7 linked regions of the Oryzias latipes genome follow. Each later gene encodes a partner of the first gene's protein in a complex. Links are inferred from orthologs where the notes say so. Each region holds a gene or a part of one and is shown in the gene's direction. Other genes may lie near its edges. The genes, in order: taf1c, polr2f, znrd1, taf1b, taf1a, polr1b and rrn3.

Evidence for each region.
Region 2: taf1c (region 1) and polr2f share a complex: the UniProt entries of both Homo sapiens proteins name them as parts of the pol I pre-initiation complex. The link is inferred for Oryzias latipes from reciprocal best matches to the Homo sapiens genes TAF1C and POLR2F.
Region 3: taf1c (region 1) and znrd1 share a complex: the UniProt entries of both Homo sapiens proteins name them as parts of the pol I pre-initiation complex. The link is inferred for Oryzias latipes from reciprocal best matches to the Homo sapiens genes TAF1C and POLR1H.
Region 4: taf1c (region 1) and taf1b share a complex: the UniProt entries of both Homo sapiens proteins name them as parts of the transcription factor SL1/TIF-IB complex. The link is inferred for Oryzias latipes from reciprocal best matches to the Homo sapiens genes TAF1C and TAF1B.
Region 5: taf1c (region 1) and taf1a share a complex: the UniProt entries of both Homo sapiens proteins name them as parts of the transcription factor SL1/TIF-IB complex. The link is inferred for Oryzias latipes from reciprocal best matches to the Homo sapiens genes TAF1C and TAF1A.
Region 6: taf1c (region 1) and polr1b share a complex: the UniProt entries of both Homo sapiens proteins name them as parts of the pol I pre-initiation complex. The link is inferred for Oryzias latipes from reciprocal best matches to the Homo sapiens genes TAF1C and POLR1B.
Region 7: taf1c (region 1) and rrn3 share a complex: the UniProt entries of both Homo sapiens proteins name them as parts of the pol I pre-initiation complex. The link is inferred for Oryzias latipes from reciprocal best matches to the Homo sapiens genes TAF1C and RRN3.

What each region holds. Positions count from the first base shown.
Region 1 is NC_019870.2:29,159,904-29,163,999, forward strand, and holds the start of taf1c (TATA box-binding protein-associated factor RNA polymerase I subunit C), read left to right. Parts: upstream 1-1,296; 5' UTR 1,297-1,627; coding exon 1,628-1,744; intron 1,745-2,283; coding exon 2,284-2,395; intron 2,396-3,890; coding exon 3,891-3,940; intron 3,941-4,096. UniProt on the Homo sapiens protein: Component of the transcription factor SL1/TIF-IB complex, which is involved in the assembly of the PIC (pre-initiation complex) during RNA polymerase I-dependent transcription.
Region 2 is NC_019866.2:19,813,471-19,817,724, forward strand, and holds polr2f (DNA-directed RNA polymerases I, II, and III subunit RPABC2), read left to right. Parts: upstream 1-1,454; 5' UTR 1,455-1,589; coding exon 1,590-1,609; intron 1,610-1,750; coding exon 1,751-1,820; intron 1,821-1,930; coding exon 1,931-2,061; intron 2,062-3,427; coding exon 3,428-3,499; intron 3,500-3,585; coding exon 3,586-3,676; 3' UTR 3,677-3,907; downstream 3,908-4,254. UniProt on the Homo sapiens protein: DNA-dependent RNA polymerase catalyzes the transcription of DNA into RNA using the four ribonucleoside triphosphates as substrates.
Region 3 is NC_019869.2:21,549,317-21,553,127, forward strand, and holds znrd1 (DNA-directed RNA polymerase I subunit RPA12), read left to right. Parts: upstream 1-1,251; 5' UTR 1,252-1,373; exon of another isoform or gene 1,374-1,513; 5' UTR 1,514-1,524; coding exon 1,525-1,642; intron 1,643-2,316; coding exon 2,317-2,420; intron 2,421-2,501; coding exon 2,502-2,611; intron 2,612-2,684; coding exon 2,685-2,709; 3' UTR 2,710-3,311; downstream 3,312-3,811. UniProt on the Homo sapiens protein: Core component of RNA polymerase I (Pol I), a DNA-dependent RNA polymerase which synthesizes ribosomal RNA precursors using the four ribonucleoside triphosphates as substrates. Can mediate Pol I proofreading of the nascent RNA transcript.
Region 4 is NC_019882.2:22,300,544-22,303,398, reverse strand, and holds part of taf1b (TATA box-binding protein-associated factor RNA polymerase I subunit B), read left to right. Parts: intron 1-194; coding exon 195-292; intron 293-365; coding exon 366-458; intron 459-706; coding exon 707-812; intron 813-1,690; coding exon 1,691-1,844; intron 1,845-1,911; coding exon 1,912-2,011; intron 2,012-2,093; coding exon 2,094-2,241; intron 2,242-2,317; coding exon 2,318-2,492; intron 2,493-2,575; coding exon 2,576-2,613; intron 2,614-2,684; coding exon 2,685-2,772; intron 2,773-2,855. UniProt on the Homo sapiens protein: Component of RNA polymerase I core factor complex that acts as a GTF2B/TFIIB-like factor and plays a key role in multiple steps during transcription initiation such as pre-initiation complex (PIC) assembly and postpolymerase recruitment events in polymerase I (Pol I) transcription.
Region 5 is NC_019882.2:5,957,730-5,961,732, forward strand, and holds the start of taf1a (TATA box-binding protein-associated factor RNA polymerase I subunit A), read left to right. Parts: upstream 1-1,203; 5' UTR 1,204-1,445; intron 1,446-3,057; 5' UTR 3,058-3,085; coding exon 3,086-3,224; intron 3,225-3,523; coding exon 3,524-3,687; intron 3,688-3,759; coding exon 3,760-3,873; intron 3,874-3,954; coding exon 3,955-4,003. Other genes in the region: mia3 (transport and Golgi organization protein 1 homolog), read right to left, coding at 117-240. UniProt on the Homo sapiens protein: Component of the transcription factor SL1/TIF-IB complex, which is involved in the assembly of the PIC (pre-initiation complex) during RNA polymerase I-dependent transcription.
Region 6 is NC_019873.2:3,644,806-3,647,206, reverse strand, and holds the end of polr1b (DNA-directed RNA polymerase I subunit RPA2), read left to right. Parts: intron 1-126; coding exon 127-377; intron 378-451; coding exon 452-1,334; 3' UTR 1,335-1,901; downstream 1,902-2,401. UniProt on the Homo sapiens protein: Catalytic core component of RNA polymerase I (Pol I), a DNA-dependent RNA polymerase which synthesizes ribosomal RNA precursors using the four ribonucleoside triphosphates as substrates.
Region 7 is NC_019866.2:25,544,614-25,548,775, reverse strand, and holds the start of rrn3 (RNA polymerase I-specific transcription initiation factor RRN3), read left to right. Parts: upstream 1-1,362; 5' UTR 1,363-1,611; coding exon 1,612-1,710; intron 1,711-1,982; coding exon 1,983-2,039; intron 2,040-2,110; coding exon 2,111-2,200; intron 2,201-4,162. UniProt on the Homo sapiens protein: Required for efficient transcription initiation by RNA polymerase I (Pol I). Required for the formation of the competent pre-initiation complex (PIC).

The sequences.
Region 1 (4,096 bases):
TGCAAACATGCAGAAACCACAACACCAATCCTCATCCTCCCTTCATAATCTGCAGATGTGTTCAATGACACGCCAGGTTCCAGGAAAACAGAATGCTTACAGAAACCCAGTCAACCTTTCGTTGTTGTGTTTCAGTATTTGTTCATCTGGGATTTGTAGTTGTTGTATGTCAACGTGTCTTGCACCGTCTCGGCCACCGTAGAGGAACACTGCAGACATCTGAATTCTTCAAAGCAAACCAGCACTGAGCTGAGAAAAAACTGAGATGTCGCATCACAAACACTTCAACACAGCTGTCAGTCAACCCGCAGAGTCCGTAAGGCCCCGCACCGATTCACGCGAGGATTAGCATGCGGTAAGTCACGACCCCGGGCCGTCCCCACGGAGAAAAACACTGAACTGACCGCGTCACCTTGGAGTTTCCTTCAAACCTGATCAGTTCCAGGCAGACTCCAGAGCAGACACGGACTTCATCCTCGGAGGAAGACTACCCTAACCCCGAACCGACGCGATCCTGCGGCTGACATCCAGACGGACTCAGGGAGGGCTAGCCGCGCGACATGCTAACGCTAACCCAGACTGCAGTACGCTGACTTCCGGGTTAGCCTCCAAACCAAAACCCTCCGGAGGGGAGCGTTCAGACTCACCGGGGACCGCAGTCCAACGACGAGGCCTCAGACGCAGAGACTGCAGGAGAACCACAAGCCTTCGCCCGGATCCTTCACGCCGCTGCTCCTCAGACGGATCGATCTGTGCAGTCAGCTGATCGGTGGACGTGTGACGGCTACATCCGGTCCCGGGAAAATAAAACACCGCGGAAATATATACTGTGCTTTTAAATTGAGTTATAACCGATACAAACATGAAGTCAGACATTTTGCTGTGATGGTAGAGTTTGCATGATATCACTGTGAGTTTTCTCCCTTTGCCCCTCACAGTTTAATGTTTTATAGGTTGGTTTGCGGTTTGAACTCTTATTTTGAAGTTGTTTTTTAAACTGTTGCCATCAAACTGAATTGTTTACTTAATTAATAATAATAATAATAATAATAATAATAATAATAATAATAATAATAATAATAATAATAATAATAATAATAATATATAAATAAATAATGTTTGACCATTGTTGTTGTTATTTATGTCGAACGTTTCTGTATTAACTTTGTTGTGATATTTTATTGTAAAACGTTTTCACACCTATTAATGTCATTTGTTTGGAGGGGGTCATCCAACTTTATTCTAGGTCTATTTCTATTATTAAAAACTTTTTTTTTTCAAATGTAGCGGAAGTTCTTGTTTTGTTATTGAGTTGGACTTCCGGTTACAGTCGGAGCTTGAACACGTGTTGATCGAGGTTCTTGAAGAGCTGCGTTTGTCCGTGGTGTCTTTGGACGCCGCCGTGTTTTCACCTCGGTCTGGACGTGCGTTCGTGGGATCGAGTGGATTCCTGTCACGCGGCGGTCGCGCCGACGCAGCTTTCCTTTTGTCCGACTAACAGGCGCGCGCCGCGGAGCTAACAGCGTAGCCGAGCCGTTAGACATGTGCGGACGTGTTCCCGGGAATCACCCGCCGTGACACAAATCCGGACGCCTGGAAGTTACTTCAGCAGATCAAAAGGGATCGAATGGATCATCGGTTCCCTCTGAAACTTTTCCCTTCGTTTTACAACCACGGACCCCCGAATTCGAGGCAGAAGCCCTGCGCGGGCGGATGGGGCAGTTACGAGCGCGTCATTCCTCAGGTGGGTCATTTGGTGCAACGGCCTGCCTCATGGTGTGTCATCTCAATCATCATCCATATTCCCGAAACACGGGGCTTCGATTCCGGGACTCCACAATAAATGCACCTTAGTGTATGTCGCTTAGTTATTATGCGACATAGAAAATAATTGGTTCTTTGTCATGATAAAGACTGAAATATAAAGATGTGTTTTTGTTTTTTTACGGTCTACAAAAGGTCAGGGACTCTTTTTAAAATGAGACAGGATCATGTGCAACAAAGAATCATCACGATCCATCTGCAGCAAAATTACCTCAACGACCAAAACACTAGAAGGAGCTGCATGTCCAGCAAATCCAGGCTGAATGTTTATGTTGATGAATGTAAATGAAACTAAAGGGTAATAATTGGAATCCTGGTGTAAGGCAGGTCTGATCAGCGCAGTGGTGGAGTGAGCGTCTCTCTAGCGTTTGATGCCCATCACACCTTTTTTGCAGATTGGCAGAAAAATATCTGGTTTGCAGAAACCGCCTGAGCTTCGCTGTTTCTGTGTGTTTACAGGAAGGGGCGGGTCCTGGCTCCAGCTGGTCCTTTACCTCCAGACACCAGGTCAGCGGGGAGACGTGGCTCCACGCCGAGCCTGTGCCCGTCCCGCTCCTGTCTCCCAGAAGCGGTGAGCTGCTTTCTCCTGCAGGAGATTGAGCCTCTGCTACGAGACGAGGCATTTGATGTGATTCTATCCACTGAAACCCGTTTGTCTTCTCCGCTGGAAGAGTACGGCGGCATAGATTCATGCATAAGGAGACACTGATTGTAGAAAACTCTCTGTTGCACAGCAGGTTGATCTCACAATCGTCTGGGGAGTTTTGGAGAATCCTACAAATCAAGGCGTTCCAAGTCCCATTGGTCTTTGGATAATGGTGATTTTGTTTTTAGCCAAAATCCTGTGTCGTTTTCTAGGACATTGAATCTTCAGAGCAGCAGGAGTTCATTAGAAATTCACCTCTGCGTTGTGGGCGGGACTGTTGGCGCAGAGTAAGCACGCTGTCGTTTCCCTGGCGTACAGCCCCTCACGAATCCAAGCTAACGTTACCGTTAAAAAAAACTGTACTGTAGCTACACAGAAGTCCATTTCTGATCCAGATTCCAGCTCAGAGCAGGAAAACAAAGACGTTCATGGGTCTGTTGGTCTGCAGGTGGATGATCAGAAAGGGGCGGAGCATGGAGACTTTGGCCACGCCCAGCACATTTGTTGCTCAACAAATAAGCTCTGTATCAAATGGAATTTATCCTGATTTACAACAATTTAAATAAAGAAATACTAATTTTGTCCTCAATCATGAAAAAATGTCGGAAGAACACGTTAAACACAGAGAAGCTTTAAGCTTGTAGAGCAGCTTAAAGAGCCTTTACCTTTCCCTGAGAACCTTTCAGAGTCAACAATGTCCACATAGGACTATCTGTTACCTTTGACACAGTTCTTATGAAATATAAGTTACTTTCAGCTCATTTTCCAACCTGGAAGTAAGATGACTCGATCTCCGAGGCTCCGCCTTTCTCTCCTTGTGGGCTCCGCCCATTTCATGACATCATCCTAGTGTCTACGTTTCTCCTACGAAAACATTCAAACTTTTCCAAAGATGGATGTGCATATTGTGTATTGAAAGGAAAGCGTCTACCCGATCACCGCTAGCTTCACTGAGAGAGTGGGCGTGTCTATTAGCCTGGAGGCGGGGCTGGCAGGGCAGACTCTTCCTGAAAGGGGCGGTTCCTCACTTTGTGATGTCACAGTGTGAGAACGCACTGGTTTTGGGAGGGGCTGGTGCTCAGAGAGCAGGTTTTTAGAGGAACACTCAGACATTCATGAATGGATCCAAATACTACTTTGGGTTGTTTATAGTGAAGAATGAAGATTATAAAACACTGAAAAGCTCCACAAGTTGATTCTGCATGATAAAGACCCTTTAGAACGTTTCACCTCAGGAGAAACGGACTGAAATAACAACTTAGGATGAGAAGTTTACTGAAGTTGATCCACTGGATCACTGGAGCAGTCAGCTGATCATCAGGGGGCTGGAGAACCTTCACGTTTTCAAACAGGGAAGTGAAATGTTTGAGGCTGTTTTATTGAATACAGTGGTGTTATCTGTGAATGTCCTCTGTTCCAGCTTTTCTCCCATCTGTGACGCCTCCAGAGCCGGCAGACTTCACTGAACACGTAAGGAAGCAGCAGTTCATGCACTGACAGCCTCATATGGTTCCCTTTGATGGCAGAGCATCAGCCAAGCAGGGTTATGATCAAAGTGAGGCTGGCTCTGCTGCGTTACTCAGCAGGTCCTCTCTCTGCTCTGAGGGAAACCAAAGCCGGAGGCTA
Region 2 (4,254 bases), on another chromosome or scaffold:
GTCTGTTTGGCACATTCTGTTCAAATTGTTTACAAAGTCCAGCAAGAGAAAAACGGAGTACTTTGAAATAGAAACCAATTCCTACTGATGTTATTTTTTTACCACTTTTTTAAAACCCTGTTTTAAGAAAAATATTTTTCCAAACCTGCATCACTAGAAAATGCTTAAAGTTGTTGTCCTACAGATTTCTTCTGAGACAAAATCAGCCATGCAGATTCCTGCACTATCTTTTGCTATATTTACTTTTTAGTTTTTTTTAGTAATTTGGTTAAAGGGGTTCATCAGAAAATGTATAGAAAACTGTGAAAGAGAGCAATTTTACAAGTGACATTTTTTTAAAAGGTTGTGACAAGAATCTCCTGTCAAATGTTCACTTTTATTGTAAATTATTGCAACTTGTTGTTTACTAAATTAACAAAGAATCAATTGCATATTTCATAGTTGGGCTATATTTGAAAAAAAAAAGTTTATGTGTAACCAACAAACAGGATTAATTTTGTTGTTAAAAACGTGAACATTTCTTCCTTTTTGTGTTTAGAAATTCTTACCCATCCACTGCTATATTTATAAAATAGGTAATGAAGAATTGTTTTAAAAGAAATCTCTTTTGTATAGACACATTTTATTAAATAAGTGAAGAATCTAAATGGATCTGTTCTTTGACAAAGTGCCAGCTGTTTGAGCTTAACCCTAGCAAAAAGTTGACGCTTTTATTTTTTTAAGTTTGCTTGAATATAAGTATAAAGCAAGTACGCTGTACTAAAGACCATGTTCATGTAGTGTAGAGATGAAGTATACTAACAGAATATTTCTTGAGACTGGAAATTGGAAATTTTAAGTTTACAATATCTAGATTTTATCTTGACATTATATTTTAAAAAAATAAACGTCAAGTATACTGCCTCACATTTATAAGTATACTTGTAGTACACTTAAATAGACTACTTCTTGCAATGAGTATTCTTACATAAGACAGGAAAGCACTTGCAAAAACATTTTTATGTTGTTTATTGTGAATATCTTTTCATTTGATCACGTAGGAAAATATATTAGATGAAGAGTAAAAAAAACAGAATCCAGCCTTAGCTCTGAATGTTTTTTCGCATTCGGTTGACCCAATTCTGTTCTTTAACTTTGCACTAAGTGACATGCCATTGTTACTCGTTTTCTATAAATGCAGGGCAAAAAATTAAGAATTATTAGTATTCATTTTCTCTCAAGGGTACATTAAAATAAATGTTGAAAACTATCATTTTGGTGTCTTCTTTTTCTCTAAAGGTACAGCCTTGGTTTTCCATAGTTTGATGGATTTATATTTATTTCTAGTTGAAGTTTATTTTGTTTAGGATACTTGACTATAATAGAAAGTAAGCTTTTTATATACTATTTGTTTGCTTGTTTTTAAATTGAATTAGAAAAAGGTAGGACAAAAAAAGAAATTCTAGTTGAGAAGCCGGACATAATTTTTCAGCGTACACGCGCACCGGAAGTTTAGAGACCACAACGCTCAATGTGGTTTAGCCTCTAAATTAAATTTGCTGCTAATAAACTCTATTAGTATCTATATTGGAAAAAATATAAGTTAAAACATGTCTGATAACGAAGACAAGTAAGTTGTGATCTATGTTCATCAAATAATGTCATGGTATATGTTAATTTTAAATCTATTTTAGCGTGTAGCCTGTTAGCTAAGCTAGGTTACGACTTCACCGTTTTCGGTCTTTGATACAGTTTTTGTCAACATTTGCAGCTTTGATGATGGAGACTTTGAGGACGCCGATGAGGACGAAGGATTAGACGATCTGGAAAACGTGGAAGATGTATGTTCGTCTGCACTTTTTTCATTTAGTGGATCATATTTGGGGTTCATTATTCATGATTTCTATCTGGCAGTCTAATCAGATGCTTGTTTTCCTTGGATGATCATCAGGAGGACCAGGAGAACGTACAGATCCTCCCCGCAGGAGAGGGGCAGCAGGCTAACCAGAAAAGGATTACAACACCGCACATGACCAAATATGAGAGAGCGAGAGTGCTGGGAACACGAGCCCTCCAAATAGCGTGAGTTGTTTACTGTAAAATAAGCGCTTTACTCTTCTAAACCAATAAGTTAGGCTTCCAAACATTTGTGGCTTTGTTGTTCTTCTTATTTTATTTTGCTAATTTGTCGTGTGGAGCAGCTGATCAAACAGATGAGAGCTGAAGGCCCCTGGTGTTGGACAGATTGTAATGTTACCATAGGAGTTTTGAAGCTTTGGGCAGAGGAGGTTTATGTCACTACAAACCTTTTTGTATTGAGGCTTAACTTTATTTTATTAATATTTGTGCTTATTGAACTATGCTGCATGTACCCCATCTTTGCCCCAAAACAGCTAGGATAGGCTCCTTCAGACCCTGATCTACAATAGGCCGGTTTTAGAAAAATGATGGACTTGTGTCCATTCCTTTTTGGACCGGAGAAAACGGAGAAGGATAGTGGGATATTAGGGATGGGGGGGACAAGATAGAAAAGGACATATAGAAGTTGGAGAGTCACCAAAGAAACACACCATTGCAAACAAAAAGAGACAAAACGTTGCTAGAGGTTATTTATAACTTTCACAATTAGATGTTTATGTTTATCGCACACACTGAATATTATAAACATTCCTGTTGCCCTCAAAAACCTTCACTCTTGCATATTGTCATGTACACAACACAGATAGAGATCAGATAAATATGCACCTTCATTTGCATAAAAGCAGATACAATCTCATACAAAAGTCCTTTTCTGAGCCAAGGTGAGTGGGCATTGGTGCTTAGTTTTTTTGTCTGTGTTCTACTGTGGACAATGATGGTATGAAGCGTAATGAATAAAAAAAAGGGGGGGAGCACCTGGTCGTCCCACACCAAGCCCCCCAGAATGAGGTGAGGCAGTAGCGGCAGCCAGGACCACCACAGCCAGGAGGGAATCCACCACCCCAGTGACCCGATACCAGCCATCCATACCAGAGGAGGGACTGCCGAAATAGTCCCCAGCACCAAAGAGCAAGGAGTCACAGGAGCATGGAGAATGCACGCCCTGGCCCAGCTAGAGAAAAGCCCCCCAGCTGTGCTATGGGCCCATCACGAGGTCCCAACTGGTTGCTGCAGATCACGTGTTTCAGGGACAAACAAAAAAATCTTTGCATCTCATTTTGTCAAAATGACACTGAATTACATTTCTCAGTTTTGCAGCTTTGAAGGCAGGTTCTGGGTTTGAACCTGGTTGTTGACATCTCTGTGTTTTTGTGTTTGGGCCGTTTAAGGACACACTGGTTTGAAAAGTGTGTGTGTGAATGAACAGTCCATGAATCCTCTGCCCCGCCTGTTTTCTGGCTTTAAAATAATGACATTTTACTTCAATTTGGGATTTATTTTGAGGATTTTGTCGTTGTTCTGCCGACAGCATGTGCGCTCCTGTGATGGTCGAGTTGGAGGGAGAAACAGACCCCTTGCAGATCGCCATGAAGGAACTAAAGTACATCAGATTATTCCATTTCTGTCTAAATTCTTTCATCTTGTTTTGTTCCTGGTAACTCAATGTTTGCCGTTTGTTCTGAACAGGAGCAGAAAGATCCCCATCATCATCCGCAGGTACCTCCCCGACGGCAGCTACGAGGACTGGGGCTGTGATGAGCTCATCATTACCGACTAAACAAACCTGGACTTTCAGCTGAACTTCAGAGCTTCGATGATACCAAACAGAAGCAGCAAATGCAGTCATTTTAAAACCTGCTTTGCAAGCATGAGCCAGTAGGGGGAGACATAACTTTGTTTAAACACATTTTTTTAACAAACTGAACTTTTGTTGTAAGTATTCCAAGTGTTGATTTTGATCAGAGATCATCTGTTTTATTGTTATAAATAAAGTCTTTTTTTATGATAATTTCACGGTTTCTGACTGTTATTATTAAAGTTTTAATGTCAGCATGAGTCATAGTCAGGGAAAAAATGGTCAGTTTTGGTCATTTAAAAAAAGAACCAAATCAGTTGATTAAACTTCAAGAATCATGTGGTGTTTGATTGATGCAGCTTTGATGTCAGCGGGTCTTTATTTTCCTTGAGGCTACAGCCCTTGTGGATTTGGTGAAGCCGTCAGAAAACAGACGGAGGCTCTCTCTGAGTTTATCCACGGAACCATGTGAATGAAGCAGCTCAACAGGTCGGCATTGTTCAAAGGGAGTGTTTGCCCTGGCAGAGAGACGCGCGGCGCTGGAGGAAAAACCAGTGCTC
Region 3 (3,811 bases), on another chromosome or scaffold:
AGTTTTGAAATGGATTAGCTGCAGATTTGGACTTTTGGTCAGTTTAAAGGTGTTTAGACAAAGTTCTGACCAGAAGCTTTAATCTGTGCTGATGCTCAAATCCGCATCCCATTTTGTTGTCGGAAGTGAAATATTATTATCTAAATTACATAAAAGTTTGTATATTTTGGAGAGAGTTTTTTTCATTGAGAAATTAATCAGAGTGGTAACTACGTCTGGTAGCTTGAAATCGTTGTCTCTGTATTTAAACTTTTTAGTAATAATTGATTTAAGTTGCTGATATTCCAAGAAGTTATTTATTCCATGTTTGTCTTGAAGTTCCTGGGGAGTTATGAATCTACTATCAATAATTATGTGCTCTAGTTGTTTTATGCCCCCTGCTTGCCAATTTATGTCGATTTAAATAGGCAAGCAGGTTGTTTTTATTTTATCAGGTTGTAATTTATTTTTAAAAACCTTGTTTAAATCTAATTTTGTCTTGAGGCTGTGGGCAAAGATATAAATACGGATTAATTGCCTTGTGTGTGAAACTGGAGGCTCAATTTTTTACAGATCGGAATTTAATTACAATTATTTGAGAGGAAACTGCAAAAAACTACATGTAGATATGCAATTGTGGCCAGAAGTACAAACAGGATTTACCAGGAAAAGCATTAATTCCTAGGAAAAATAAAGGAGGCTATTCAATTAAATTGTTGCCAGCTTGAATACTTAAATGCAAAAGCTCCCAGGTGAACTGATAATTCCTAAATTTGCTAAACATCTGAAATTATTAGAAAAACTCAATAATGAACAATGCCACAAATGCAATATTACAAGATAATACTGCTGTGAGAAATAACAAAAAAACAACTAAATATGTTGAGCAACCAAAGGAATTTGATGCAAGCTAAGTGCTTAATTTGCTAAATACATTTTAAAATTATTTTTTTTAAAATAATGGATTTAAAAAGACAGAAAAACCATCAAACATTTGCGAGAAAGGAAACAAAATGACATTTATTAATTCGATTTTTGGCTAACTGAAACATTAGAGGTGAAAATATCTGGATTAAAACACACTTATAAAGTTACAGTAGTCTAAAACCTTCATATAACTTACAACAGTAGTAAGTGATGAATTTATAAGAGTCAACTACGAATAAATAAGGTCTTTTGAGTTGTAAAACGTTGGAACATCCTTAAAATTTAGGGTCAAATGAAGGAAAACTACAATGGTGTCATTCACATTTCTGTCCACTACGAGGCGCTCGTGTTTACGTGACATTACCATCTTCTAGTTAACATGAAGAAGAAGAGCGCACAACAACACCCAATGCGGGCGAGGAGAAAGTAAATTATTGTCTGTTTTTGTGCAAACAGCCATCGATCAGGTAATTATCCTCAAATCACTCCTCCGAGAGCCCGCGCGCGCCCACCCACGTGCCTGCAAGTTAGCATGATGTGTTAGCTATCTGTCTGTCGGACTGTTGTTGTGTCACGTGCTCTGAACATAGCCGCCGCGCTTCCTCAGAACCAGAGCAAATGTCTTCAAACGGCCGCGACCCCAACTTCTGTCAGGATTGTGGCAGCGTCCTGCCGTTGCCAGGACTGTCCGACACGGTGCGCTGCCCTCGCTGCTGTCTCTGCACGCCCGTGACAGGTAAGCGGTCCACGCCGCCATGAGAGTCTGCCTGCTCTGCTGCTGGTTCATGTCCCTCAAGAACCGAATGGCTTTTAAGCACCAAGAGTACAGTCAAAACTACCGGTTTACTGAAAATGAGGCACTCAGTCTGACATTTCCCTCCATTTTTTATTTGTTTTTGATCAGCAACTACCTTTAAGTTCACATTATGTGTAAGTTCTTCCTTGATTTTTTAGTTTCTCTGATTTGACTGCCCTCCTTTCTTAATGACTAGTATGCTTTAACAAGAATGGGAAATAAAAAGCAACCACCTAAAACTGCTCAAATGAAACATTTCAGACAAATCAATTTAGCATATGATCAACATCAGTCATTGAATTTCTTCCTCAGCCGGTCTGTGGAGCAGTGATGAGACAGTAACCTCTGCTGGGCTCACTCCTCCTCCCTGGGAAGGCCTCATATTGGGGTTGGAGATCCACTGGCAGCTCATACATGTGTCCTTTACCACGTGACACTATCACAGGTCATGGGAAGGATGTTGAGGATTCAGAAGAACTCTGTTGCTGAAAGTTACTCTTAATGCTTTCATGAAATTATTTGAGCCAGTCTGCACTGACAAAAGGGTTCTCCTGATGTCTCTCTAACAGGTCTAATCTGTCCAATCCTCTAACTGTGCTGCTTTTGCTCTGCAGAGTTCTTGGGAAGAGAAATTCAGTCTGGGGTTATCTTCAACCCCGCTGAGCAGACCTTGCTGGCTCTGGAGGATGAGGAGAACTCAGAGCTGAAGGGCCCTGTGGTAAAAGCAGCCGTCCGCTCAGCAGTGGAGCGTTCGTTGTCGCGGTAACGCCTCACGGTTTGCTTCTTGCCTTGCTTGCAGATTGACCGACGCTGCACTCGCTGCAATAAGGAAGGCATGATCTACCACACTAGGCAGATGAGATCTGCAGATGAAGGACAGACGGTCTTCTTCACCTGCATCCACTGCAGGTAGGTGGCGTCAGCGTGACCCTCCTGTCCTGCTGTACGGTTCTGGAGCTGACCGGTCTTTGTCTTGTTTCAGGTTCCAGGAAAAGGAGGACTCCTGAGAAAAGCTTTTGCTTACTATCTGATCACAATCACCTCAACTCTGGTTCTGTTTTGATCCAGGGAGCTGCTTTTTTGTAGTGATGAGCTGTTTCTGTTTGTTAAACTGAACTTGTGCATGTTCTGGTGCACGTGTTGGTCCTCTCCACCTTTGTCACACATGACACTGGTCAGTTCATCGGGACTCTACAAGAAAAAAAACAGGAATCGATGTCTCAGATTTAAACTGCAGCCACGGAGGCTCAGGACAATCAGGTATACATTTTACACAAGTCAACTAAAGTGAAGGAGCAGGACAGCAACTCAGCAAACTAACCAGAAACAATAAAACTGTATCAGCTGTTTATATTTATTTTTCCTGAAGCATACCCTGATTCTCAACTGGACAGCTGTTAGTACTTGCGCGCATTTTCTCAGAAAATGATCTCTTTATAGTTTGATTAATTTCTTTAAAACTCTTGTCAAAGACCAGAAAACTGTCATCCTATGTTTTTATAAAGTATTCTACCAAATTTGAACTGTTGTATCCAGTAAGGCTTCAACTTACATCTCACATGGCTGTTAAATTGTTCTTTAAATGATAAAGAACGCTCTTGGTATCTGACATGTTCTTTTTGTTGATTTATTGAAGCAGAATGGTAAACGGCGTATACTTATTTAGCCCCTTAACTATCTTCTTGGAGCATTTTACAGTCACAGTTCCATTCACCCATGAACACACACACTGATTGTGGCTCAGCTACCAAACCATGTTGCCAACCTATAACCCCCAGAAGCAAGGTGGGGTTCAGTGTCTTAACCTTGGACACATGGGCGGGTAGGGTGGGAATTAAACCTGCAACCTCTTGATCAGGGGTTGACCGCTCTACTTCTGCACCACAACTGCCCTGTTAAGTTGCCAGCAGCATTTAGAAAAAAACAGTTCAACCTCCTTGGTCTAGTTTGGTCCTCCTGGGCCTCAGTAGCTCTCCATCATACCTATACCCCCCCCCCCCCCCCAATCTCTCTCTAAAGCCTTTTTAATAACTGCCCCCCTCATCTATTATCCACAGGAGATGCACAAGCAGGCAAGCTATTTGGCATAAAAGTAAACTCTTACAAAAA
Region 4 (2,855 bases), on another chromosome or scaffold:
CTCCAGCATCCTCTGATCTTCAGGCTCCTCCATGAATCCTTGTTGCTTCTAAACTCTGGAACTCTCATTCAGACATTTGCTTCGTTTCCAGTTTTAGATCTTTGAAAATGCTTTTGGGTTCCTCTCAGTTTGATGGCAGTGCCCATCTGAAACGTTTGTGTTTCTTTGTCTCACACGTGTTCTGTGTCGTTCAGGTGGCCGTCACACATGGATGGTCTGTGAAGGTTTCCAGTTCATCCTGATGAACCAGGCGGATGCCCTGCTTAGGCTGGGAGTCCATCCTCACTTCAAGGTCTGAATCTGTCCGTATTGATCTGCCATCGATGCCTGAGCCCGTCTGATCAGTGTGTGGCTCGCCGCTTTAGGACGGCGTGCTGCGTCAGCTGTGGAGGCTCTACTTGCAGAAGAGCCGGCAGGCTTACTGCGTCAACCGAGTTAGGAGCGCCAAGTTCAGAGTGGTCAGTTTCAGTCTGTGACTCACCTTCCTTTGAAAATCTGTGCTGAGATAATCATATACATGATTTCAATGAGTACTAACACGGATGTTTATTTATTCATATGCTCTCCATGCTTTTTCATAACTGGAGGGATATCAGTTTAGTCTGAATTTTTAGATCCACTCAAATGCAGGAACAAACATAAATGTCTTCAGAGGAAGAGTGATGATGACTGCAGCAGCCTTCTGTTCTGTCCCCCCCCCCCCCAGGGAGACGCAGACTCGGATTCAGACAGCGCAGCCGAGGCGTCTGTGGCATCAGCCAGCGGGACGGATGGAGAGTCAAATCCCTGCAGCAGCCCCAGCTCTAAAGGAGGTATGTTTGACTCCCCCAGCAGGAGCAGCTGGGGTCAGCCATGAAGTCTTTGGTCACTGGACTATGGAGACGCCAGACCTCAGATCTCTGCCGTCTGGGGGACTACAGGGGGGTCTGACTTTGAAATGAGTGAATTATTATTATTATCTAATTATTGAATTAGACTACTGACAGAAAGTTGGAGATATTACTAATAACTAAAAATTAATGAGAAAAAAACATTTTCATTAGGTTAATATTACCCCTAAAATGAGGACAATAATAAAAATAGCCCCAAATAACAGAAATGTCAATAGTGGGTATTTGCAGCATTTGCATCAACAGCAGCTTGACAGTGACGTCTCCTCACCAACCTCATGGTGTTGGTCTGAACCAATCTTCCATAAGTGCTGCATGTAGTTCTGCAGCTCACTTGGGGGTGGGATACCATCATCCAGTCTGCTTCAGCTGGTCCCAGACGTTCTCTATGGGTTTCAGGTCAAGGGTCATTGCTGGTCATACCACATGAGCTACTCCCACTTCCTGAAGTCCTGCTGTGACAGTACTGGTACCATGTGATAGGGTGTAATCATCCATGAACAGAAAGCTGGGGGTGTTCTGGTGGAATTGGGGGATGAGAATGGTTCTATGATGTCTCTGAGGTTAGAACATTCAGTGACTGGGTCATTTACAATAACCAAATCAGTTTGACCCTGACTGGTGATACCTGTCCAGACTGTTACACCTCCTTCCCCAAAGCCAACCCTGAGGACCTTTGACCTCGGCGTATCGCTCACCACGTCTCTGTGTATATCACATCCACTGAGTTTGTTGTTTTTTTCACAATATCCATGACGTATTGTGAGTATTGTATGTTGAAATGTAGCCTAATCCCTCAGGCAGTGACTGGTCTGGATCAGCGGACAGCCTCTGTTACCTGACTCCCCGTCAGAGGCGGAGCCATAGACTCCTGAGCCTGAAGAAGACTCTGGCCCTGATCCACTTGGCCTTGGTCTGGAGCCGGGAGGCGCTGACTCTCAGCGACCTGCTTGGGTAATCTGCTCCTCCAAACCAGGCGTTGGACTGCTGGATGTTGGGCTGATCCTGTGTTTGCTCTCAGACTGGTGAACTGTGGAAGCGTCCCGTATGTGAAGGCCCATGAGCAGCTCCCAGAGCAGATGAAGCTGTTCGGCAAAGATGCTCTTCTGTTTACTGCAGAGGTAACGACCTGGAGTGAGTGAGCTGCTGACCTCTGCCCTGTGTTCTCCTGTTTGTTGACGATGTGGTGAACTGTCTCTGCAGACGGTACCGTCTCACCGCTCGCTGCATAAGGAGGCTCAGGATCTGCTTCTGTTCCTGCAACTTCCAGCGTTTCCTCCCATCAGCCAGCAGACTCTGCTCCACCCGGGGCCACTGAGCCTGCGCTACCTGATCGATGCAAACCTGCCCGGTAACAGCTTCCTCCGTCCCAGCTGACAGACAGACATGCATGCTGCGCGGGCTGAGCGGCTCCTTCCTGTCTGCAGGTGAGCTGCACAGGTGGGTCTGCAGAGTGGCGGAGCTCGCAGGTTTGTTCCATGAAAGCCGCCAGACGTTCCACCCCGAGTCCCAGCCCACCCTGCCCCGGTACGACCTGCAGGCGGCAGCGCTCATTATCGTCACCATGAAGCTCCTCTTTGGCCTGGACGACCACACCGAATGGTAACCCCCCCTGCCCTGCCCTCCCCACCCCCCTACATCCATTCCACAGACAGGTCGTCTCACTGCGGTTCTCCTGGTTTCAGGGAGCTGTCCAACAACGCCAGGTCCACAGACGGAGAGGGTCCGTGAGTGCCCCCTGTGTGTGAGTCCTCTTGGTGGGGGCTCTTCAAGCTCATGCTTTCTCTCTGACAGGGGCCCAGTTTAACCTGCGAAGGTGGTACAAACTGATGCAGACCGCTCTGAACCGAGCTCAGCAGAGGAGGGACCAGGACACAGCCAGGTGAGGTTGTTCCTCGGTTCCAGTTTGTCGGACTCCTGCAGATCCTTCAGGTCACTTCTGGCAATATTTTTAAATCTGACTTT
Region 5 (4,003 bases), on another chromosome or scaffold:
GGCAACAGGTCAAGAGATAAGCCGTGGTTTATGGCTAGCTCCCGTATCAGGATCAACGGAAGGGAACGCCGCATCCATGAAGCCGCGTCCCTCCCCAGCTCTGCAGGCAAACTTACTGCTGCACTCCTCGTCTGCGCATCTTTTAAAGTCAGAGAATCTCCTCTCCAAGGCTGCAGTTGGTATTAAATAAAATAAAACTAATAATAAAAAGCCTAGACGGTAAAAATGTTTTGCTGCCATGTTGGCAGTTAGTGTAGCCGGACTTGACTCCGCCGCCGCCGGAGCATGAGCAGTGGGACGCAGGAGCTGACACGTCAGCAGTTAAGATCCGGCTGGGTGGAGGCCCGGACGGGTTCGCATCGATGGATGAGGCGGATTCAGGTACCTGAGAATCAGCCTCAGGTCCACACCAGAATAAACACGAAGACTGGAAAGCACGACCTCATTCTCTAATGTGTTTGTGTGTGTGGCCACATTCAAATTACTCACTTAGCTCCAATAACAAACCACTGAACATTATTTTCTGAGCAAAAGTAACGCAATTACGAGGAAATAGTAAAATAACTCACTGAAAAACATTGTAGAAGACTTCCTTATATTGAAAGTAAAGATAAATAATTACTACTAGGTTTAAAAAATGACATGGTTAAAAATAAGCTTCATACCGTGACATTGTAAAAATATCAACTCAAAATAATTTTTACGTGTTCTATTAATATTAGTTTTATTTATTTTTTTTTAGAAAACTTACATGTATATGTTTCTTCAATTTCAAAATAATAAAAATTTCAGTAAAACAAAACATTGACTAAAATAAAAAATAGGTTTTGAGAGAATAAATAAATCTTGCTAACACTGTAGCTTTCTTACTTTGTGATTTAAAATGCATTTTTTGCTCTTAGCACAAGTAGTGGATACATTTACAAATACTGTCAACAAGTACACACTACTGTATTTCCGAAGAGAGAAGAGGGAAAAAGAGATCGAAGCCCATTTACTTCTTCAAAAAAAATATTTGGCAAATCTTTTTGCAGTAGTTACAATTTTGGCTCTTTCTTTGCCTTATATTTTAGTAAGTAGTTTATTATTATTGATTAAGTAAGGAACTCTGAGACCGTGAAAAGTCACGTGGAGGAAACCCCCTGCTCCGCCCCGCCTCCTTGGGTTGATTCAGCCAATAGCAAGACAGATTCACAATCTACTTCCTGAGCTGCACCGGAAGTGTGGTGGCTACAAACATCTCACATGTGTAGCAAGAATTACGTTTTTTTTTGTTATTTAAATCAGAAATATCAATTTAGTGCCAAGCATACTCTTTTATTTAGACACCATTTAGGTAAAACCTATTTCCGTAAGATAAGACCTTAATTTCATCCTAATTTGACGCTTATTTTCGAGTAGGGTAACTTCAACACAGTGAGCCTCAGTGGGGCTAGTCTGGCCAGGTAAGCAAATCAAATGTCAGCTACTAGTTCAGGGCTCGACATAGCCATTTGTCCGCTGGCCCGGTCCTGTTTTTCGAGCAGTGCGGACCACAAGACTTTACTTTTCACTTGTCCGCTCGGGCCACTAAAATATCTAACTGTTTATATATTCTTCACCTTTTTCAATAAAGTAAATTTTGCGAAAACGTGTAGATTTACCTCGTCTTCATAATTTAGTTTTTCTGCTAGTCCTGTGTTCAGACTTCAAAGGTTTCTATGGGAAACCTTTGATCACTTCTCCTTCTCTCCCGCCTGCGCGCGCGCGGCTTTCACTGCGGAGCACCACGCGGCACGCGCTCACTACTTTTTTTTTCAAACTTTATTGAATGTAACAATTCAATACAAAACAATGTTAAACAGCAACAACGAAGGCACAAGCCAGTGGGTTATTATTACATTTGATTATAAATCCGACACCGTCACTGAAGAGAGACTGAAGCATGTCAGAGATGTGGAAGACATGGCAGGAATAGATAGGAATATGTTAGATGGAGTAATGGGTGGAATTAGTACTATGGACAGCAAGATATTTAATGAATGCATTGAAGATGAAACTGTATGCACTAAGCTTTAAGCTGAATGTCAAAGAATCAAAGGCAACTCCAAATACCTGAATCTCAGACTCAAATGCAGTAGAATGTTAAACTACTTAATTTTACTTAAAGTAGAAATACTTACTGTAAGCAGTAAGTATTTCTAGTTAGCTGAATGATCTCAGTTAGACCTGCACAATATGAGGAAAACTCGCGATATGCGATATCAGAGATTAAAATTGCGATAACGATATAATTTGCGGTATATAAACAAACAGAAAAATAACCAAATAACCATTCCCAGTTTAAAAATTATACTCCAAATGACCCACGTTGACATAGGTTACAAACATCTAACATAACAGGGCTCCATCTGATTGGTCAACAATGTGAAGGCGTCCATCCGATTGGTCAAATGCATTAAGGGATTTACTTGATTCGTTAAATGGTTCAAGCTGCCATTAGATTGTTTTAACACATTTAAGGTTTATGATTTATTGTGATATTTGCCGTTAGAAGCACCATGAAAACTTCTGAACTAGTGTTACCTACTACACTGCAGTGCTCTCTTCAAAACATCTGAAACAGACTAGAGCAGATTTAAGTTTGATATGGTCTATTTTCAGTCATTGAAAAGTGTAGAAATAAGTGATGTCACCAGAATGCACCAAATTGCACCATATTAAAAGTTTCCGGGGGGGCATGCCCCCGGACCCCCCTAAAGTTGCAAGCACCTGCGGAGCGGCGGGTCCCGCTATGCGCGGTGTCGGGCCAGTAACTTTCAGGCAGGGCCAGTAAGTTTCAAAAACTACTGGCCCTGTGGGCCAGTGCAAATTTCTGGGCTATGTCAACCCCTGTAGTTATGATTGTGTTGTACACCTAAAAATCTGCAGACAGTTGGTCATAAGTGACACGTTATTTAGTTCTAGAAGAGCATCTTTGTGATTTTTAAAATGTTCATAAAACAGAAAAATTGTAATGTCAAAGGACCTGTTTGCTACTTTTTGCTTTACTGTCTCTCATTGTTTTTCTCCTCGTAGGTTGAAGAGCCATAACTTTTAGCCAAACATGGACGACCTGGAGAAAGAACTGAACCCTCGTGAAGACATGGAGAATGATGATGATGATGCTGATGACTCCTGTGACAACAGCTCTAGAAAAGAAGGAAGCTCATTCAAGTTAGATTTGATCCAACCAATTTGTCAAAGTAAGACACACTTTATATTCCATAAAAGTGCGTTTTCCCCTCTAATTCTCTTTAAAAAAATATGGGTTTATGAGCATATGTCAGATAACACCATACAGATTGTCATTAAAACGGTATTTTTTAAGTAAACATCTTCAGAAATCACTGAAAAGATTATACTTATCATGAAAACATATGTCATCTACATTTTATTGCAATAATAAACAAACCCTAATTGGCTGAATTATTCTACATTAGCCAAAAAATGATATTTTTGTTTGGAACTCATTAATTTGTAAGTTTTACTTAAATAATTTCAGAGACTCTGCACGAAAATGGATTTCACCAGAGCGTCAGACTGTGCCTGGAGTACATCAGAGAAGCCATGCTTCATCACAGGTGGCTGGAGGCAGCAGAGTACATGGCCAGCTATGCACAAATATTAGAGGACAGAGTTAATCTCACAGCACAGCAATACAAAGAGGCAAGTTTGCTTTTGCGTCTTCACCAAATGTGTGTATCTTAAAAAGAAGGTAAATTTAATATCTTCTTGTAGCTTGTTTGGAGAATCAGCACTGAGATCCTTCACCATCATCCCAAATCTACGATGGATGACTACAATGTCATATATGAACGGATGAAGCATTCAGGATTTAAACATTATCTAAAGGTGTGTTAAAACGAGCCCTTGTCCTCTTTTGAACATAATTTTTCCTCTAAATTCTGCAATTTTCTTCTTCTTTTTTTTTAGATTTCTCTGGAACATTCATTCCACTTAATGCTTCATGGTCAGATAGAAG
Region 6 (2,401 bases), on another chromosome or scaffold:
GCTGGTCTTTGGTTTTTAGATTTAGGCTAAAAATGACTTCCTCCTAGTCTGAAGACCACCTGGAATGCTTTGAAAATAGATGTTCAGAGTGGGTCTCTACATTCTGACGTTCTTTGATCTTACTAGATTGTGAACAAGTCATCGTGGGAGAGAGGCTTTGCACATGGGAGCATCTACAAGACAGAATTGGTGGACCTTGCAGACAAAGTGAGGGGGGAAGATGCTGTGGTGTTTGGGACCAAGCCAGGGGACCCCAAAGTAAACGACAAGCTCGATGCTGATGGGCTCCCTCGTGTCGGATCGGTGCTTCAGTATGGTGACCCCTTTTACAGCTACATCAACCTCAACACGGGACAAAGCTGCGTCCACTTTTACAAGTAAGCGGCAAAAATCTCTGCTCCCTTCATGTTTTGTCTCAGTGGAAGTGAAAGCCATTCTGTGTGGTTTGTAGAAGCCAGGAGGCCTGTGTGGTGGACAACATCAAGATATGCAGCAACGACAGCGGCTCAGGCCAGTTCAAACGCATCTGCATTACCACCCGAGTGCCACGAAACCCCACAATTGGTGACAAGTTTGCCAGCCGCCACGGGCAGAAGGGCATCCTGAGCCGCTTGTGGCCCGCTGAGGACATGCCCTTCACGGAGAGCGGCATGACCCCCGACATCTTGTTCAACCCCCACGGCTTCCCGTCTCGAATGACCATCGGGATGCTGATCGAGAGCATGGCGGGCAAGTCTGCCGCCCTTCATGGTCGGAGCCACGACGCCACACCCTTCACCTTCTCTGAGGAGAACTCTGCGCTGGATCACTTTGGGGAATTGCTCCGGGCGGGGGGGTACAACTACTACGGGACAGAGCGGCTCTACAGTGGAGTGAGCGGTCGGGAGCTGGAGGCAGACATCTTCATCGGTGTGGTCTACTACCAGCGGCTGCGTCACATGGTCTCTGACAAATTTCAAGTCAGGACCACCGGAGCGCGGGACAAGGTCACCAACCAGCCCGTTGGAGGAAGGAACATTCAGGGAGGCATCCGCTTTGGAGAGATGGAGCGTGACGCCCTGCTGGCCCATGGCTCCTCCTTCCTCCTTCACGATCGTCTTTTCAACTGCTCCGACCGCTCAGAGGCTCAGATGTGCGTGGACTGCGGCAGCCTCCTGTCCCCGCTGCTGGAGAAGCCTCCGCCCTGCTGGTCAGCCATGCGCCACCGAAAGACCCTCTGCACGCTTTGTGGCAAAAGTGACTCCATCAACGCCGTGTCTGTTCCTTACGTCTTCCGCTACTTTGTAGCTGAACTGGCAGCGATGAACATCAAAGTAAAACTTGAGGTTAAGTGACGTGCTGCAGGATACATACGTGCCTTAAAGCCTTAGCTGTGGTTTTGAAACATTTCAGTCAAATTCTACTGAATCAGTTCTGTAAAACCATGCTGTTATCAGAACTTTGCTTGATGCAGTTCAGAGTTCAAATCCCGTAAATTCATAAGTGTTCATTGTGACGGGGTGTCAGTTCTGATGACCGCCATCAGGTTCTTCCCAATAAAGCCAAGAGGACCTGGTTGTGGACAACATGGCGGCAAGACATCACTAGCCAGAACCGGAAGTCCGGAACCGGAAGTTTACGTCCCCTCAAAACAGGAACGATCCAAAGTGGCTTTTCCCCGATATGTGTAGAATTCTTACATATCAGAGCAAAGCAGAATACGCAGATTCACGTTGATCGAAGGGTAGAAATGTAAACGCTGGAGCTTGTAGCAGTTTTACAAATCTCACTTTGTTTATATCCTTTTTTTAAATGATTATCCTTTTAGAGCCGTTTAGGCTCATGTTGGAACTGAACCATTAATTCACATGAAAAGGTTTTAATAAAAGGTGCCACACAGTGACATCCCATTGGAAGAAGAATGTTCCCAAGAGTCTGTATTCCCCACAGGATAGTGAGAGAACAGAGGAACGTCTCTATTCCTGCTCTTAACACTGGATGACCACAAGGAAAGATCTGGAAAAAGGAATTTGTCAAAAGCGTGTCAATCGTCTGGAATCTATTTGTAACAGAAGTCTTTGTTAAGCGAGGGCAGACACCCCAGTGCGGTTCCAGCTGTCGTTCCCTTACAGCCACCTGGATCAGGTGTGTTCAGCCTTTGAGGACATCCCGGGTCAATGTTGCCTCCATCTTTACCCCTGCTAGAAAAAGGATGTTTTCAACAGCACCTTATGATAACTTCTTTATTCAGTTTGTTATGAATCAGGAGCAGATGACAAAATGCCATTTGAAAACTCTTCTAGCTGTAATGTAAAACCTGCAATTGGCAGGTCACAGTCTTCCTGCTCTGCTCCATTCTGATCATTATCCATGAACGTCTTTGTTTTCTTGGTCTGAGCTAGAATCTGGATTAGAACTGGAC
Region 7 (4,162 bases), on another chromosome or scaffold:
AATGGCTGGTGAGGCACTGACGTCATCAGTCAGATTTACAAACATATGAACCATACTGAGTAACTTATTCACCATTTAATTGACAACAGTTAACGTGTTTTGTTTAAAATATCATTTCAACATGTTTTTTTTTCATACACAAACTGCAGCATAAAAAAAAGCACAAACGTTATTATCGTCTTACCTTTACTTGTAAATAAAGTTCATACGCCGCTCCTTCTGAAGAAAATGACTTGCCGCTTGCTATCACTTATTCATAATCTCAGGGCTCACCGGCGCCCCTAACATGAGGCACGAGAACTGCTGGCCTCACCCAGCGAGTTTTTTGCCGGGGTTTAGCGCTCAGCACAGGAAACACGTCCCCCACATACAGTTATTTATAAAAGAAAACACTGTACATCATATACATCTGCTAAATTATGTAAACTCAGCTGATATAGTACAAGTGATTGAACCGACATACAGAGAGACAGCAGTGCCGTCTGACTGCATAGGTATTGCGCAATCCAAGGTGAGGCTCAGCGGGCTGGTGCCTCATCGCACGTCACTTCTTAGTATCTGAACGGCAAATGCGGAAATTCAGCGATTTTGAAAAGAAAAAACACCCAAAAATGGTACATTTAAATGGAAAATGACTGCAAAGCACAAATTACTGATTAAATATAATTGAATTTATTTTTTCTCTTTTCTTCCCATAATGACAGGTGAGGCACCTGCCTCTCCTGACTGCACGTCACTGTGTATAGAGTATATATTATTTTTAGTTTTATTTAGAATGTTGTATCATAAAGTTTGTTTGTTTTGAGAGAAGGTTAAATGCAATTTTTCCACTCCTGAAACAGTTCCAGCATAATAGTGTAGTGGCGGTCACGCGCACATTGCTGTCGGAGCTGGCAGCGCGGGGAATTGTGGGATATAATCCGCTTGGCCTGCTCTGGTCACGTTTGGGTTGAGTACGGGGTTTATTTTGCCTGTGTGTCCTTCCATCTGGCTGTTTTATGGCTGTTCACTCTTAGTTATTTAATCCTGTTGTGGTTACTTCTTTTTTGCACTGAGTTCAAAAAAATAAAGCCTAGAGATCCTCCTATCTTGTCTCTCCGCTTCCGTCATTGATGCATTGCTACAATACTGTAATACGTGTATTTCTTGAATGTTGGATCAACTGAAGAAAATCCTTTCATCAGTAAATGTTCATCTTTCTTTACTGCATCTTACAGTTTTAACAGTTGTTAGACAAAAAGAAATTACTTAAAATCAATGACAGTCACTTTGAAAAATATACTTTCAATCATTTTATGTTTGTTCTAAAAAATAAAGAAGGCAGGAACTGTGAGGAAAAAACTCTTCCCGGAGATCTTTTAGTGTGACACCGGTCCCTCACGTAAACACGTCCCCAGCACGCCGCTGCTTCCCGGCTGTAGTGTAAAAAGGGGGTGACGCGCTCAGACTCGTGTCGGTTCTGGTTCTGTTTGTTTCAGATGTTGTAGAACTTTCGTTATCGAGGAGCTACAGCGAGAAGACATCAGAGAGAATGCCGCGGGGCCGCGCGCCTTCGTCCGCGCGGCTGTTTTAGCGACGGGAACCCAGCTGCCGGTGGCGCGTGCACCCACCATGGAGGGGAACACTAACAGGGACTTCCTGAACTCTGACCCGCTGAAAACGGTCCGGTTCGGGGGCAGCGTGGCCGAGACGTTAGAGAAGCACCGGCAGGTACTCGTTTCCGCCGCAGACTGAAGCTTTGGTCCGGTTGTCAGTCCGTTCCATTAAGTTGTGACGTGGCTGCATATTTAAATAAAAAGAAAGCATTATGGAGGTATTTTCTAATGTTTGAATTTAAAGTAAATTGATTCGCATTGAATTGTAAAATTGGTTGCGGAGATACTAAAAAACACAAAGCTGGTGTGCATTAGGATGCAACTGATCCTGAACTGTTCTACTAGAATCTTGGTTGGTGGTTGTTGATGTTCTGTTCGGTTCTACAGGGGGACTTTGGTGATTATGAGCTGCTGCAGCATCAGCTGGCAGATCCAGACATTAAGGTGGGTTCCGGTATTGGGCCGACTGGTCCCGTTGGATGGTTGGTACTGAGCTGCTCCTCTGCTCCTCACAGGACGCTCAGATCATCAGCTGGCTGCAGGAGTTCAGGAGCTGCGTCACCTTGTTGAAGAAGGACCACGAGCAGCTGGTCCATACCGTTCTGGTGAGATGCAGAGAGTTCTGGGAGAGGAAATCCTCCTGTTGATTTCCTCATTAAACATCTGTGAATATTCCATTCTGGGTGGAACTAGGGTTGGGCGATGTCCCCTAATTTGGCCGTTGACGATGTTTGCTGTCAACCATCGGGATGGACGATGACATCGTCGGGGGGGGGGGGGGGGGGTATTTTTACATTTTTCGTTCTTATATAACTGCTATTCGTTATTTTGCTTTTTTCATTTTATTTCCCAACTAATGGTTAATCCGCAATGATCCAGTATAAACTGAGGGGAAGTGACTTTAACAGAAAAAGTAACAAGCAAAATAGAAAAGAAGTGGTCCGCTCCCGCACTTAACTAGTGAAGTTGACCGGCGGAGGGCGGATTTACAGCTTTATGTTTGATGGGAAGGGGGGGGGGGGGTACATGAGCGGTATGTGTGGGAGATTTAAGACTGCGATCCGTCCCGCAGCTCTAGGGGTACTAGCTACCGAACTCAGAACCGGGTCTAAACGTGTGTCTGAGCACAGTTCGGATCGTCAGCACACACAGCGGTTTGAGCTTCAAAGCAGAAATGTCGCTCAGTCCTTAGAAAACATTCAAACAATCACGCGGATTTGTGTTTCCAGTCGTGTCCCGACTAAATAAAGGCTGATGTTATTCTTACACGTTTACGTGCAGCGCCACCCAAAGCTAATGTTGTTAGCCCGTGTTAGCATACTGCTAATCCTGGCTTCGTTCAGAAAAAGCACTGACCACACGGATTAAAATTCAAATGATGAGCGAACAGGTGTTTCATAATAACCGTAACATTATTAAAAGCACGTTTAGAAGATCGTCTCGTATTTTACCGAGCTGACATGTCAATGTATATAGCTGCTCGCCGCTGTTATCGTTTTGTATTGATTTGTTACCTTCAATAAAGTTTGGAAAAAAAAGCCGCTCGGCGGAAGTTGTATCCTCTTCCGGTTTTCAAACTGCGCATGTGCGAATACTGCGCATGTGCGAATGATTTATTCCGACCGAAATTGTGACCTTAGTGAACGTTTTTATATTCTGAAAACATTTTTCTGGGCCCATGTACACGGTTGGATACTAATCCGACCATTGATCCCATCAAGATATTTTGTACATGTAACCGCGGCTTATGGTGTCGACGCGCAACGTGGCGGGGGCGTGGCATCACGATGGTGGTCTCTCCATCGGGATGTCAGTCACCCATCACGATGGACGATGATATCGTCCATCGGCACAACCCTAGGTGGAACCATTCACTGTAACAACGATTCACATCATCATTTGTGCTCGCTGATCCGGTTCTCTGACCTAAAGTGGATCCAGATTCTCTGACCTAAAGTGGATCCAGATCCTCTAACCTAAAGTGGATCCAGATCCTCTGTCCTAAAGTGGATCCAGATCCCCTGTCCTAAAGTGGATCCAGATCCCCTGTCCTAAAGTGGATCCGGATCCCCTGTCCTAAAGTGGATCCGGATCCTCTGACCTAAAGTGGATCCGGATCCTCTAACCTAAAGTGGATCCAGATCCTCTGTCCTAAAGTGGATCCAGATCCCCTGTCCTAAAGTGGATCCAGATCCCCTGTCCTAAAGTGGATCCGGATCCCCTGTCCTAAAGTGGATCCGGATCCTCTGTCCTAAAGTGGATCCAGATCCCCTGTCCTAAAGTGGATCCAGATCCCCTGTCCTAAAGTGGATCCGGATCCCCTGTCCTAAAGTGGATCCGGATCCCCTGTCCTAAAGTGGATCCGGATCCTCTGTCCTAAAGTGGATCCAGATCCTCTAACCTAAAGTGGATCCAGATCCCCTGTCCTAAAGTGGATCCGGATCCCCTGTCCTAAAGTGGATCCGGATCCTCTGTCCTAAAGTGGATCCAGATCCCCTGTCCTAAAGTGGATCCGGATCCCCTGTCCTAAAGTGGATCCGGATCCTCTGTCCTAAAGTGGATCCAGA